Linked DNA regions of Bombyx mori. The protein of the gene in region 2 purifies or fractionates together with the protein of the main gene of each other region. This does not show direct contact. Links are inferred from orthologs where the notes say so. Each region holds a gene or a part of one and is shown on either strand. Other genes may lie near its edges. The genes, in order: serine/threonine-protein phosphatase 2A catalytic subunit beta isoform and serine/threonine-protein phosphatase 2A 55 kDa regulatory subunit B alpha isoform.

What was found.
Region 1: the proteins of serine/threonine-protein phosphatase 2A 55 kDa regulatory subunit B alpha isoform (region 2) and serine/threonine-protein phosphatase 2A catalytic subunit beta isoform purify together in Caenorhabditis elegans (affinity purification with western blotting; 3 studies listed by BioGRID, with this or other methods). This does not show direct contact. The link is inferred for Bombyx mori from reciprocal best matches to the Caenorhabditis elegans genes sur-6 and let-92.

What each region holds. Positions count from the first base shown.
Region 1 is NC_085109.1:3,343,151-3,350,231, forward strand, and holds the start of serine/threonine-protein phosphatase 2A catalytic subunit beta isoform, read right to left. Parts: upstream 4,857-7,081; 5' UTR 4,674-4,856; coding exon 4,572-4,673; intron 1-4,571. Other genes in the region: Rack1 (receptor for activated protein kinase C RACK 1), read left to right, coding at 6,489-6,597, 6,857-7,065.
Region 2 is NC_085132.1:3,793,631-3,800,120, reverse strand, and holds part of serine/threonine-protein phosphatase 2A 55 kDa regulatory subunit B alpha isoform, read right to left. Parts: intron 3,108-6,490; coding exon 2,953-3,107; intron 21-2,952; coding exon 1-20. UniProt on the Caenorhabditis elegans protein: Probable regulatory subunit of serine/threonine phosphatase let-92.

The DNA.
Region 1 (7,081 bases), on a different chromosome or scaffold from region 2:
ATATTAAATGATTACCGGGGGCTATAGTACAACAACGAAAATTCAAAACCATGGTACCTACTGCATACTTAGTAGCTATTTCGTATATCAAACCGAAACGAATTACTGCTTCGCGGCAGAAATAGGCAAAATTTTGGAATTTTCCCGTGAACCTATCCCGTTTAGACCAAGCGCTTGCGCATCGTTTCTCGGATTGATTTTAAAATTAGTAAAATCAATATTAGCAGTTTAAAGGAAGGTTTCTGCCGTTGCCATTGCCATCAAGGCAAAACAGAGAAAGCGCGAAACGTTTCAACAAATATTTAGTATTGAAAAAAAAAATCAAAAGCAACGTGCTTTAAAACAGAATTTGAATACTTAATCTAGTATTAATAGGTTTCAAATTTGCATGATATCATAAATGCTTGTCTAGCGTCCGTCTTCGATATCTGTATCATATTTCTTTCTAATATATGTTTCTAAAATTTTATGCAAAATACTGTCAATACATCAAACTAATATTATTTCAGCCAACTAGACCAACAAAATTTGTCGTGTCTAATTTATAGTCGATTTCTGTGTGAAAACAATGAACATTTCAGATTACATAATCAAAATATGCATTTGATTTACTAAAGAAGGGTATCCTGTTATCATTGCATCTAATAACTCACTAGAAAAGTAAAAGTACTATATAGTTAGTAAAACAGTGCTTCAAGTGCATAGTTTTAAAAAGCAATTTAAAATAGTGAGGTTAAGCTCATAGTAAAAATAATCTACCCAAGTCTACATTTAGACCGTCCCCACTTTCAAATTGTATGATAGCAAATGATAGATAGAGTGACATTGTAGTCAAAAAACAATTTTACAATCAGGAATAAGTCCAAAAGTCCTTCAAAATGTTTTCAAAGAAAGTTATCAATATGTCATTATAACTTAATAGCCTCTGTGACTAAAATGTGTTTTCACTAAGTGAATTTCAATTATAGCATATTTGAAAAATTTCAATCTCTTAATATTTTAAATTACAATATGAAAACAATATAAGTATTGCTTCATATATGTATATGAATTAGGACATTTTGATAATTGCAAAAAGTGTTTATGTTATGTGAGGCCTGTAACAGTGTCACTGCATTAATATCCTCAATTCAATCTTTGATGAAGCATACATTAAGTATGGTCTGAACAGATATATTGCCTGCCTGCCTGCCTATTTCTGCCGTGAAGCAGTAATGCGTTTCGGTTTGAAGGGTGGGGCAGCCGTTGTAACTATACTGAGACCTTACAATTTATATCTCAAGGTGGGTGGCGCATTTACGTTGTAGATGTGTATGGGCTCCAGTAACCACTTAACATCAGGTGGGCTGTGAGCTCGTCCACCCATCTAAGCAATAAAAAAAAAAAAAAAAAAAAAAAAGATATTTATTAATAACTATGTTATTGATAAACAAATATGTAGTATATCTTTGTATTTACTGGTGGTGGGGTGTACTGTCGGCCTACACAGGTAGAAAGTACTATCCCTGTCTATCATCATTTATTAGGATTAACTTAATGCTTAATTAACCCCAGATGAGCCATGAGCTCATTCACCCATCAATGTAATGAAAATATAATACCAAAATCTGGAATCTTGATGGATGGATGGAATCGTTTACAAAAATTTTGGTCTCCTCAAACCACTAGAAAATTTAACTAGTTAAAAATGAGTCGACTATTATCAAAGGCGGCAATCTGACTTTTGGACAATGATTGGTAAATCAGAAAAACGAATTATTGACTTTGTATTCCATTGGCAGTCACAAAACTCTTCGGAACGACATCTTAGATAAATAACAGGTTAAGTATTAACCTTTATTTAATGCAGGTTTTGAACCGTATTCTTTGAAGGAGACGATTATATTCAAATAAATCTGCATTGACATATCAATAAAAATTTTTTGTCCAAATGTACAGATTGCCGCCTTTGATAATAGACGACTCAAATACAATATTTAATCACATTTTGGACTAGATCCATGTAGATTTTCTAGGCACGTAAAACTAAGGTGGTAGCATTTACAAAAGTAGTGTCTAATTAGAACAAAATTCAAATTATGTTTATCCACACTTTTTATATTATTATATGGGTGGAAGGGCTCACGACCCACATGGTGATCAGTGGTTACTGGAGCCCATAGACGTCTATAACGTAAATGCGGCCACCTACCTTTACCTATGAATTTCACTAGGTCACTGTACAGTAGAATGGCTGTCCCACCCTTCAGACCGAAACACATTACTGCTTCACCAAAGAAATAGGCAGGGTTGTGGTACCTCTCCGTGCGAACTCATAAGACGTTTTACCATTAATTATAAGGTTGTTTGAAATTCTATATTATTTAACTTTTTAACATTCTAATCTTGCAAGCTCTTCAGCTTCAGCAAGCTCAAGCTTGCAATCTTTTTCTTCCAAATTGCTATGTAACAGGATTAATCAAGGATCATCAGAAGTTTTTGTAAGCCAAAAGGATAATGTGTACTCATATCAAGCAAATCCAGGGTTCAATCTCACCAGCAGTTGTCAGTTATTTAAACAAATACTTAGTAAGTATATTACTTAAATGATATCCATGATAAATGATTGTGTATTATATACTAATTACAATCTACAAATTTGCATAATTCCTGGTAGTGGGTTGATTTGTAGGCGTACACTAGTATTTCGATATGGGCGATAGGGCAAGGTAAAGCCGCCGTTGCCCGAAACACGTCTTGTCGGATCCCCCTGATCTACTCTCGGTGTTTTAAGGCTCTTCAAGCACCGGTCATCATTAATCATCAAACTTGCTGATTATGATGAAGAGTTCGACAAGTGAAATAACCCGTAGACACAACCAATCGAGTTTCTTGCAGGATCTTCTCAATGGGTCGCAATTCTGATCCAGTGGTTGCCGATACTGCAAAGCACTGCTCTTACAAGGGCTAGTGCTAGTTCTCCCAGGTTGTACCAGTGGAGTGTCATGTACCCATCCGCGTGTAACTGGAATAGCCCTTTAGGCTACCAGCAAATAAACAGAGATATAAAAAAAAAAGTATTTAATACTATCCTGCATATTTCTGGCATAATGCAGTAATTGGGTGGGATAGCCCTTTGAGATAACTGAAACTTCAAACCTATATCTTAAGGTGTGTGGCATTTATTCCAATATATGTTTACTCCAATAATCAATGAAGAATTTATTGGTCATGATTATTCAATCATCTGAACAATAAAAAAAATCAGTAGCCAAATAGGTAAATATTGTACAGAGGAAAAATGTTAATTTTACACAATTTCATCAGTCTTCATTCTCAGCTAAACACAGTTTTCATCTTAGGTTTGCTCAACACTTATCTACAAATGTTCATAATGTAGAATTTTTTACTTGTGAATCAATTTCAATTATAAAAAAAAATTATGTTATCTAAAGTACATCACAATATGGCACTTTAAACCACATACAAACTAAACAATTCATTTCATTGTCAAACACATATGCAAGATTTTATATGTAGTTTGTATGTAATGTTCACAGATGAGTTGATCTATAAAAATTCTTCATACTCTAAATATCAAAATATTTATTGAGTTTGAAACAAAAAAAAAAACATCATAGGAGCTTTAAGAATTGTTTTTTTCTTTTATCTTCAAGTTATTTTAATAAACAGAAATTTAGTTAGAAAACTTTAATTGAAAAATAATAATTAATAGATGAGCATAGAACTATTTAGAAGTCAAACAATTATAGGTGCTTGTTGGTAATGGATCTTTGTTACTTAAAATTGTATAATTCTCTTTTTGACTTTCTTACTGTAACTAAAAATGTAGAATGTAGAAATAATTACATTAAAATAATGAATATTTGAATTAATTGTTCAGCTGCACCCTCTACAATTGCATTTACATTATATTGTAGGTCTAGGCACTGCAAAATCAGGTCAAAAAAAACAGGTGATGGGAACAACTGTATGATGTTCTGTTTATTTAAAAAAATTATAATAATAAAGATGTTGGTGGAATCACAGAACATGATGCACTTCCTACATTTTTACTCCAGTGACTTAGATGACATTAAAACAAACTTTACATCATAATTCAATTGAACCAACATTCTGTTTATTTTTGTTTAGTTTTTTCTCTTATCTATCATACAAAAAACAATATTCATGCAAACATTTAATAACCTTTCTAACCTATTTAAACAATCCTAAATTGGACATAAAATGGATAATGTTAATTGATTAGCAGCTTCCGTGCATGTCTAAAAATATCTTTCGAACAATTAGAATATTAAGTAACTAACTATGAACAAAAATTGGGTGTGGTAAACAATATCAATAATTTAGAACTAGCGTCGCAATGTTGTAGAGCCCCCATATTTTCAAACGATTACCAAACCAACGACAACCAGCTTCCCAAGACCTATCCGAAGAATACCGATACCCGATAACTTCTTGAAATGTAGGTACATGAATCATACAACTTAAACATTCAAATTACACCTAAGATTTGAATTTTAACTGAATATTAGCGACAATTAGATAAGCGAAACTATCATAGTACATACCTTGTCACATAACGTTTTAACTTGATTTTCTGTCAATTGCTTGCATTCATTTAGCTGTTGTATCCATTGATCTAGTTCTTTAAGCGACGCCTTGTCCTCCATTATAATTATGTGTGTGATTAACGTACAAGACGTTAATTCAAACTTTGGCTTTTATTAGGTATTTAATGTACACAAAATCATGCGAAATAACTATTTTACACTTTTTCAAAAAATTGACTAAAGCGGACACTTTACAAAATGGCGTTTGCGTGACGTCAATTTTCTCAAGAAGAAGAGCTCTAGTGGTCAAAAATGGAACTACCATGTGGTGCCATTTGATTTTTAGCTGCGTTCAGATTTTTTACCTTTTCCGATTAATCATTAAGAATTTAATTTGATATTAACAAATATCTTAAAATCCGAAGGAAAGTCGATAAATATATTTTCGTCAAGGCCTAAAAAATAAGGTGTCTGCTCTACTTATCACCATATTAAGCGATGCGTACATGCTGTGGTGTTCAAAATTCCACAGGTAGTTACCCAAAAGTGGGCACTCGTTATGCAGAATTAAGACTTCGAAGACAAGTCGTCGTGATCTAAAGGATAAGACGTCCGGTGCATTCGCATCCAGCAATGCAACGGAGTTCGAATCCTGCAGGCAAGTACCAATTCTTGTAATGAAATATGTACTTCACAAATGTTCATGATCGACTTCCACGGTGAAGGAATAACATCGTTTAATGAATATCAATCCAGTAAAAATTGAAATTTGCATAATTACTGGTAGTAGGACGTCTTGTGAGAGCGCACGGGTAGGTACCAGCCTGGAGCGTACTCTGCCTATTTCTTCAGTTTGAATGGTGGGACAGCCGTTGTAACTATACTGAGACCTTAGAACCATATATGTATATATATACACATAGGGATGGGTATAAAGAAGTTTTACTTCTTTCGTGTGATAAAGCACGCTCGGTTTTTCGATAACCGTACTCGTCGAACTCGACAAAGAATTCGACTTGCAACCTAACCTAGGCATTAGCTCGCTGAGTTTCTCGCCGGATCTTCTCAGCGGGTCGCGATTCCGATCCGGTAGTAGATTTATTCGTGAAGCAGCTGTTCTTGAGTTTGTGGCGTTCAATAACGCACCTTTTTATGATGCGTACGCCAGAATGCACGAGAGGTAAAAGAATTTAGTCTGTGACACGGGACCTTTTTACCGCCGAAAATTTAAAACGTAAAAATAATTTATAATGTGTTTAATAACTAATGTAATATAATTACTTAGAATTGTTTATGTCGCTACAACAATAAAATTTATATTGTTTCAACTGTGGTGTTAATTATATAAAACACGACTTTACGGCGAAATAAAGAAGGGACTCTATATGAGCTCCCTCAAGTTGTTAGGTCTCCTTTGGAGGCGCTCGAGTAAATCCCACCCTTTCTGGCTGAGCCCTTGTTCGCCCACCTGCCCTGGTAAAACTGGAAAGGCCTCCGGGCCACCGGTAATTTCTCAAATATAAAAAATTGTTTTTTTTTTAAATCGTGCTTCACACTCGGCAGTAGTAGACAGATTTTTCGTTTCGATTTGTGGCTTCAATTTGTCTCGGACGCCGGCCATTTGCCCCAGCGAGTAGTAAATCAATTTCGAGATTTCCATTTAAAAATCACAAATTACCTTATAGTAATGGTCTCTTATTCAACTACGGGATTAATAATTTAGAAAATTGATTTCATAAATCATCGCGATGTTTTACAATCGATGTAGTCGACTAGGTCAACCCTGAAAAGTTGTCGCCTCTTTGACTCGACTGATTTGGGCATCTCTAGTTCGCGGTCGATGGTCGGCCATCACCGTAGGTTTCGTGTTCTTTTAACACGTGCTACCGGACCTGACGCTTCAGGGAGTCGTCGCTCTTCAAACCATTTTCAAAAATGTCTGAAACATTAAAACTCCGAGGAACTCTTAGAGGCCACAATGGCTGGGTTACTCAAATTGCAACTAATCCGAAATACCCGGACATGATCTTATCTTCCTCTCGAGGTAAGTTTGCTAATAAATCCAGATACATCTTTACAATCATTATCTCAATAACCGTGCAAATATGCAATAACCTGGGTTAAATACGTATCAGTTTTCTTGTATACTACCATTTACCAACAAAATAACATGATGAGTAAAACTTTGCCACGCGATTGTTGTGAGCGGCAAGCGGATATGGGGCTGAATATTTTGTTACTGTAGGATCCAATATACATATAGAAAATGAGACATTCGAATAAAATTTGAAATTTATCTTCAGACAAAACTCTCATCGTGTGGAAGCTGACCAGAGACGAAAACAACTACGGTATACCTCAAAAGCGTTTATACGGTCATTCGCACTTCATTTCTGATGTTGTGCTGTCTAGTGACGGTAATTACGCCCTTTCCGGTTCTTGGGACAAGACTTTGCGTTTGTGGGATCTCGCTGCAGGCAAGACTACCAGACGATTCGAGGACCATACTAAGGTGTGACAGAACTCTT
Region 2 (6,490 bases):
TGCTTTGATGCTGGATCTCTCTGAAATTTAATTATATCAAGGATAAATTATGTGGAGAAAATGTATTCATCTACTAAATTTGTTTTTTTTTTTAATTCACTATAGGTACTGTTTCGATTGTGCTTTGACCTACGTAAATTATTTTTCCAAGATTGTATTTTTCCCTACCTAAGCTTATAGCCTTGAGAGGCTATTTCAGTAACCCAACTAGTAGGTGAGCTCACGGGGCTTAAACCGGAGTGATGCTAACACTGACCCTAGCAAGAGCAGTGCTTCGCAGAATCTACCACCGGATCGGAAACGCGACCCACTGAGAAAATCCGGCGAGAAACTCCGTGGGCTGTTTCTATGGATTAATTCGCTCGTCGAGCCCTTCGTCGCAAGCGACGGGTTCGACGAGGACGGTGACCGGGGTGATTGATGTAAAATAAGCTATACAACATTTGTAGAAAATCGATCGTAAATATATCAACTAGCATATATTATTATCATGTAATAGAAGAAATAATCTTACAAAAAAAAATGCTTTCAAATTCAGTGGCCCTCCTTCATAGAGATGACGGATAACGTAATTAAAAATAGTTACTACACGCGTTCACTTCAAAGAATCGACTTTACGACGTTTTCCGACGTTCGTGTCGTAAATATTTATCTTGATTTAAAACTATCGTGATCACATCGTTACCAAGTAGTTGTATATTTATTTTATCAACGTTTTTTTGTTGTTACAATGAACAAGAACTTAGTAACAAATAGTAAGGAAAATAATTTTTCACGCAGGGTACAATGCAGTAATATAACCATCCTCCTAATTTAAGACGGGTGGGTAGTGTGAAGGTTTCACACAATAACGTCTCAATATTGCTGTCTAAAAGTCTTATTCTACTACCGTTTATCACACCGAATGAATTTTAATATATTTATAAAAAAGCAAGCATGTGTAGTATCTAGTTTGGCAAATTAATATTTGTTATCTGCTTATGTTAGTCTTATGTATCTACACCAATGAATTTTTGCCCTCTATACCTTCCTACAACATCCATGGGATGATAATGGAACTTGGTATAATGCTTTTTGTTACTCTAGAGAATGTTTTTGTTATATTCCCATCAAAGCATTCTCATTAACACATTTTTTTACACACCAACGGATTATGATTTAAAGGACAAAACCTGATTTTTCGAATTATTTAAGAATGGCATATTATTTGAATGGATTATATTTAAAAAAAAAAACGATAGAAATTTGAACAAGATGCTCGTATTAAAATCTTATAACAAAACGCAGAAAATTAAATCCTTTGAATATAAGAAGTGGCATATCAAATCATTTGAAACAAGAATTTGTGTGTTTAATCTTTGACTTGAATTCAAAAACTTTCACTTGTACAACTTATTTCGACTTGCAAAAATTCAACCCAAATTACATTTTGAAGTCGTCGTGGCCTAAAGGATAAGACGTCCGGTGCATTCGTATGTAGCGATGCACCGGTGTTCGAATCCCGCAGGCGGGTACCAATTTTTCTAATGAAATACGTACTTAACAAATGTTCACGATTGACTTCCACAGTGAAGGAAAATAACATCGTGTAGTAAAAATGAAACCCGCAAAATTATAATTTGCGTTATTACTGGTGGTAGGACCTCTTGTGAGTCCGCACGGGTAGGTACCACCTCCCTGCCTATTTCAGCCGTGAAACAGTAATACGTTTCGGTTTGAAGGGTGGGGCAGCCGTTGTAACTATACTGAGATACCTTAGAACTTATATCTCAAGGTGCGTGGCGCATTTACGTTGTAGATGTCTATGGGCTCCAGTAACCACTTAACACCAGGTGGGCTGTGAGCTCGTCCACTCATCTAAGCAATAAAAAAAAAACATAATATAGATAAGAATAATTCTCAACAACCCAGGTTTGCTCACGAACCAGCAACATACAGTCATTGTTATGTAAATGTTAGCTTTGATACATTATGATTAGATACGCAATCAATTTTAAATGTATTCAGCACGCTTCAACCCAGAGCATCTTATATACTTTATCTGGCTATTGCTCCTACTATATAACCTCATTGTCGGTTTTGTAGTGGTATCGTCAATAATTTTTTTTTATATTCCTCAACTTCAACTCCAGTATCATCAGTACTTGATGTGGAACCCATGTTTTATCAATGCAACCGAGACTAAAAACTTCACGATTTTAAAATTAGTACAAAGAGTGTTAAATATTAGCATAATCTACATACGTATAATACAAGCTCGTCTGGTGTCGATACAATAACAAATGCACGAAGAAAAAAAAATTGAAGTTCTCTAATACAAGCGGCGAGATTATCGTATGCGATTATCATGCAATATATGACTCTCACTTTCAGCTGTTTACACGATGATAAAGCTGGTATCAATCAAAATTTAATTTAAAAGACGGCACACGCTTTTTTTTTTTTTTTTAATTAATTTTTTTTTAATTCTTTATTAGAGCCATACACCTATTAGGTTAAGTCGGCTAGGCACACGCTTTAATAGTTTCAAAACGTATGGTACTTTATACTAGCCATAAAGATTTCATACAATCAGTCACTAATAACCACAATACATATCGAGAAAGTGTCACCTACTCGTGTTCGAGTCTCCTTCTGTAATGATATATGATATAATAATATGATGTCAGGTATATTACCTGTTTTTTTTTTATTGCTTATATGGGTGGACGAGCTCACAGCCCACCTGGTGTTAAGTGGTTACTGGAGCCCATAGACATCTACAACGTAAATGCGCCACCCACCTTGAGATATAAGTTCTAAGGTCTCAGTATAGTTACAACGGCTGCTCTACCCTTCAAACCGAAACGCATTACTGCTTCATGGCAGAAATAGGCAGGGTGGAAGGTACCTACCCGCGCGGACTCACAAGAGGTCCTACCACCAGTAAAATACCAGTACCAGTAAAATTACCTGAAATATAACAACTCTGCCGCCCTTATCGCCGGTGGCCAGCAGTTCGCCGTCGTGGTTGAACTCTACACAGGATATCAGGTCGGCCTCCGTCACGTCATCCTCGAGGGTGCCTTTCACCTGACTAAAACACCACGTCGTCTCCCCACCATTGCCTAGAACAAGAAAAACGTACACTGTTACATTTAGGACATTCTACCCCCCTTTTTAGAGAATTGTTTTTGAAAAGGAATTCACAGTAGCTTGTTTACTCTACTCTTTAAAATGTTATATGTGGTAGGACCACTTGTGATTCCGCGCGGATAGGTACCACCGCCCTGCCTATTTCCGCCGTGAAGCAGTAATGCGTTTCGGTTTGAAGGGTGGGGTAGCCGTTGTAACTATACTGAGACTTTAGAACTTGTATCTCAAGGTGGGTGGCGCGTCTGTTGTAGATGTCTATGGGCTCCAGTAACCACTTAACACCAGGTGGGCTGTGAGCTCGTCCACTCATCTAAGCAATAAAAATAAAAATACAATCGACTTGAAATAATATCAATTTTCATTAGTGAAAGTATAATAGTTGTTTAAGCCCTACCTTCTTCAACCAGTGTTCACCCAATACTGAGTGTAGGGTCTATCCAAATGCCCTACACTGAGGTCTAATTAAAGACAGGTTACTCTTTATTTCAATACAACTGAAAGGTCGACCTTTGTGTCACAAAGTGGGTGGTGGCTTTCAAATTATGATATTTATAGTGTCTAGTAACCATTTAATATCAGGTGGGCAATAAACCAGCTAATTTCTCAATGATACTATATTACTTGTGGACAACTGAATTAACTTACCTAAAATTATACATTAAATACTGGTGAATTATAAATATGCAAAACCAAATTTTAAATAATAATTAAAATTATTCAACTACTACTTAAAACTAGTTATATCGGAATCAATAGATGTTAGTAAAGATAAAACTGTAAATGCAATGTATGCTAAGATATAAATTTATAAAAAGGAACTATGATGTTATTTATATACATAGACTTTAAAGGGAAACGTTTATGTTTACATATAAAAATTAAATTTTAATTCCCTCCAAAATCCATGTTATGTTAAAATGAAAATAAAGATAGAAAATTAAAAACAATATCAACATATTGACATTTTCTACTGTTTTATTGGTCACACAATACAAAACTGTTAGTCACATTAAAATTCGGTAATCAGTAATTTAAAACGAAGGAATGTTAGTTGAGAGCATATGAGAAAGCGCAAAAGGTTCTTGCAACACTATTCTTACTCTCAACAAAACTAGTACCTAGTGTTACCCCATCATTTAATTTCATTTAGTACTTTTTTCATTTACGGTCACTACAAAATATACCATCAATACACTATAATACCAGAAGCTACTACATATTTGATAGTTTCATATCATGGTAACTACATACAGTCACATAGTGTATTCCAATGTTGACGACACGATGAATGCCTCCAATTTGCAATATTATCCTGTATCCTTATACGACGATTTGAATACCAGGGCACTTCTTTCTTTTTTAACATTTTCATTGAACTAAAACTTATTAATAACACTCCGACATAGTAAGTCTGAGATTAATGCACATTTTACAATATATATATATATTTTAGGAACACTATTCCTGTACAGCTTTAAGGCATGCCTGTAAGGTAAATGATGATTAAAAGTCGCATTTCCCAACCTGTTTTCTCATCAATTTCGTTATACCATACACATAAAAGCGTATATTCTTACGGTAATACTATATACTCTTTTGTGCGCGTTTTGTAGGGTGGTTTAAAACAATGAAACACGTACAATAGGCACAGCGACATGTGACGCATTCCGAAAGAAGTGCAAATGAAACGGCCGTGTAATTGAATGCTATAAATAGCTGACAATTATAATGTACTCATTCAGATGCATTCCGTACTTAAACTATAAATCTAGTTTCAATGGTTTGACTATATACACTAGTAATGAATTTTCTGTGGCCTAATAGATAAAAGTCCAGTGACTAGCAAGTGAATATAATATAACTTTTACTGCTGTTCAAAAACTGAGACGGTTGCTTTTTTTTCTGAACTAATATTTATCAATGTGTAGTATGAAACTCGTGTCATAAAAAAATACGAAAATTGATAAAATTAAACGATCGTTAGGAATAATGCGAAAGCGCACGTATATTCAGGCTCACTTCCACCACTGAAATTCCTGTGTAGCCATGATTGAAGCGTCGACCAGGAAAAGATTGAACCATGACGTCGAGGCAATTAAGTAAAGCTAATTTGAATCGGATCCAACATCGAAATAAATTACAAAATAATAGGAGGCGTAAGAACTTAGATTTGAACTTCGTTCCCCACAAAGCGGAGCGGAAAACAAGAAATGGCTGAAAAGCACTTAGCCAGAAACGAAGAGCAATTAGGAAGAAAATACTCAACTATCACCATGACTGGATTTAAACTTAATGCCACTACTGGGCGCGAATAACGGATGAATTGAATTATCAATTAAACAGAAAATTGTTAATAAATAAAATTAATTAATTATATTGAGCAATCTTGATAAGGCACAAAAAGTTTTTTTCATTTTCAAAATTTTGCCGCCCTGGGCACTCGCCCTGACTGCCTCTAGCATAAATTCACCATTGACCATCACGAACCATTTTGAAGTCGTCTAGGCATAAAGGATAAGACGTCCGGGGGAACGCGTGTGAACAATGCGACTATGCAGCTTTAAATCTTTATATTATCTTTAAAGCTGGTACTAACTTTTCTAATGAAATACGTACTAAGCATGTATTCATAAACAACTTCAACAATTAAGAAATAACAATATGCAATACCATTCAAACCCGCTAAAATTATAATTTACATAAAAATTGGCGGTGAGGCGCCCATCACTCGGCCTATTTTTGCCGCATAGCAGTCATGGGTGCCTGTTTTAAAAGCGGGACGGACCCTTAATGCCCGCTGAGTTTCTTGCCAATTCTTCTCAGGACGGAGGCTAGTTCTTGTGAATTGGCGGTAGTTCTTTTGACGTTCAACAAGTATGTACTTTCATTTATGTTGAATAAAAATTTTTTGATTTGATTTGATTTGATTTGATTTAAACTAGACAATTTAATATCAGCACAGAATGGAGCTGCCTATTTACAACTATCAAAAATAATTTTATTTTTACAGAAATAGGTTTAATGGATTTATTTTAATTCATATTATCTTTGAACTTATTTTAAATGTCTATACAGCAATATTATAGACTAGATGATAATATCTGTACACTAGCCAGGTCTCAAGAATTTTATACATGTAAGAGAAGGCAATAAAATATTGTACAACTTACCTAAAGTAGTTCAAAACTATTAACAACATTACTATGTAGTGGAATGTACAGTAGAGATTTTTACTACACTCGTGGACAAATTCAGAGGAACGCAAAAAATTATTTAATTTCTCCAGTAGTAATAAAATTATTTTATGTGCTGGGCACCTAGATTAATAAGTCCTAATAAAAAAAGCTTGGTGTTT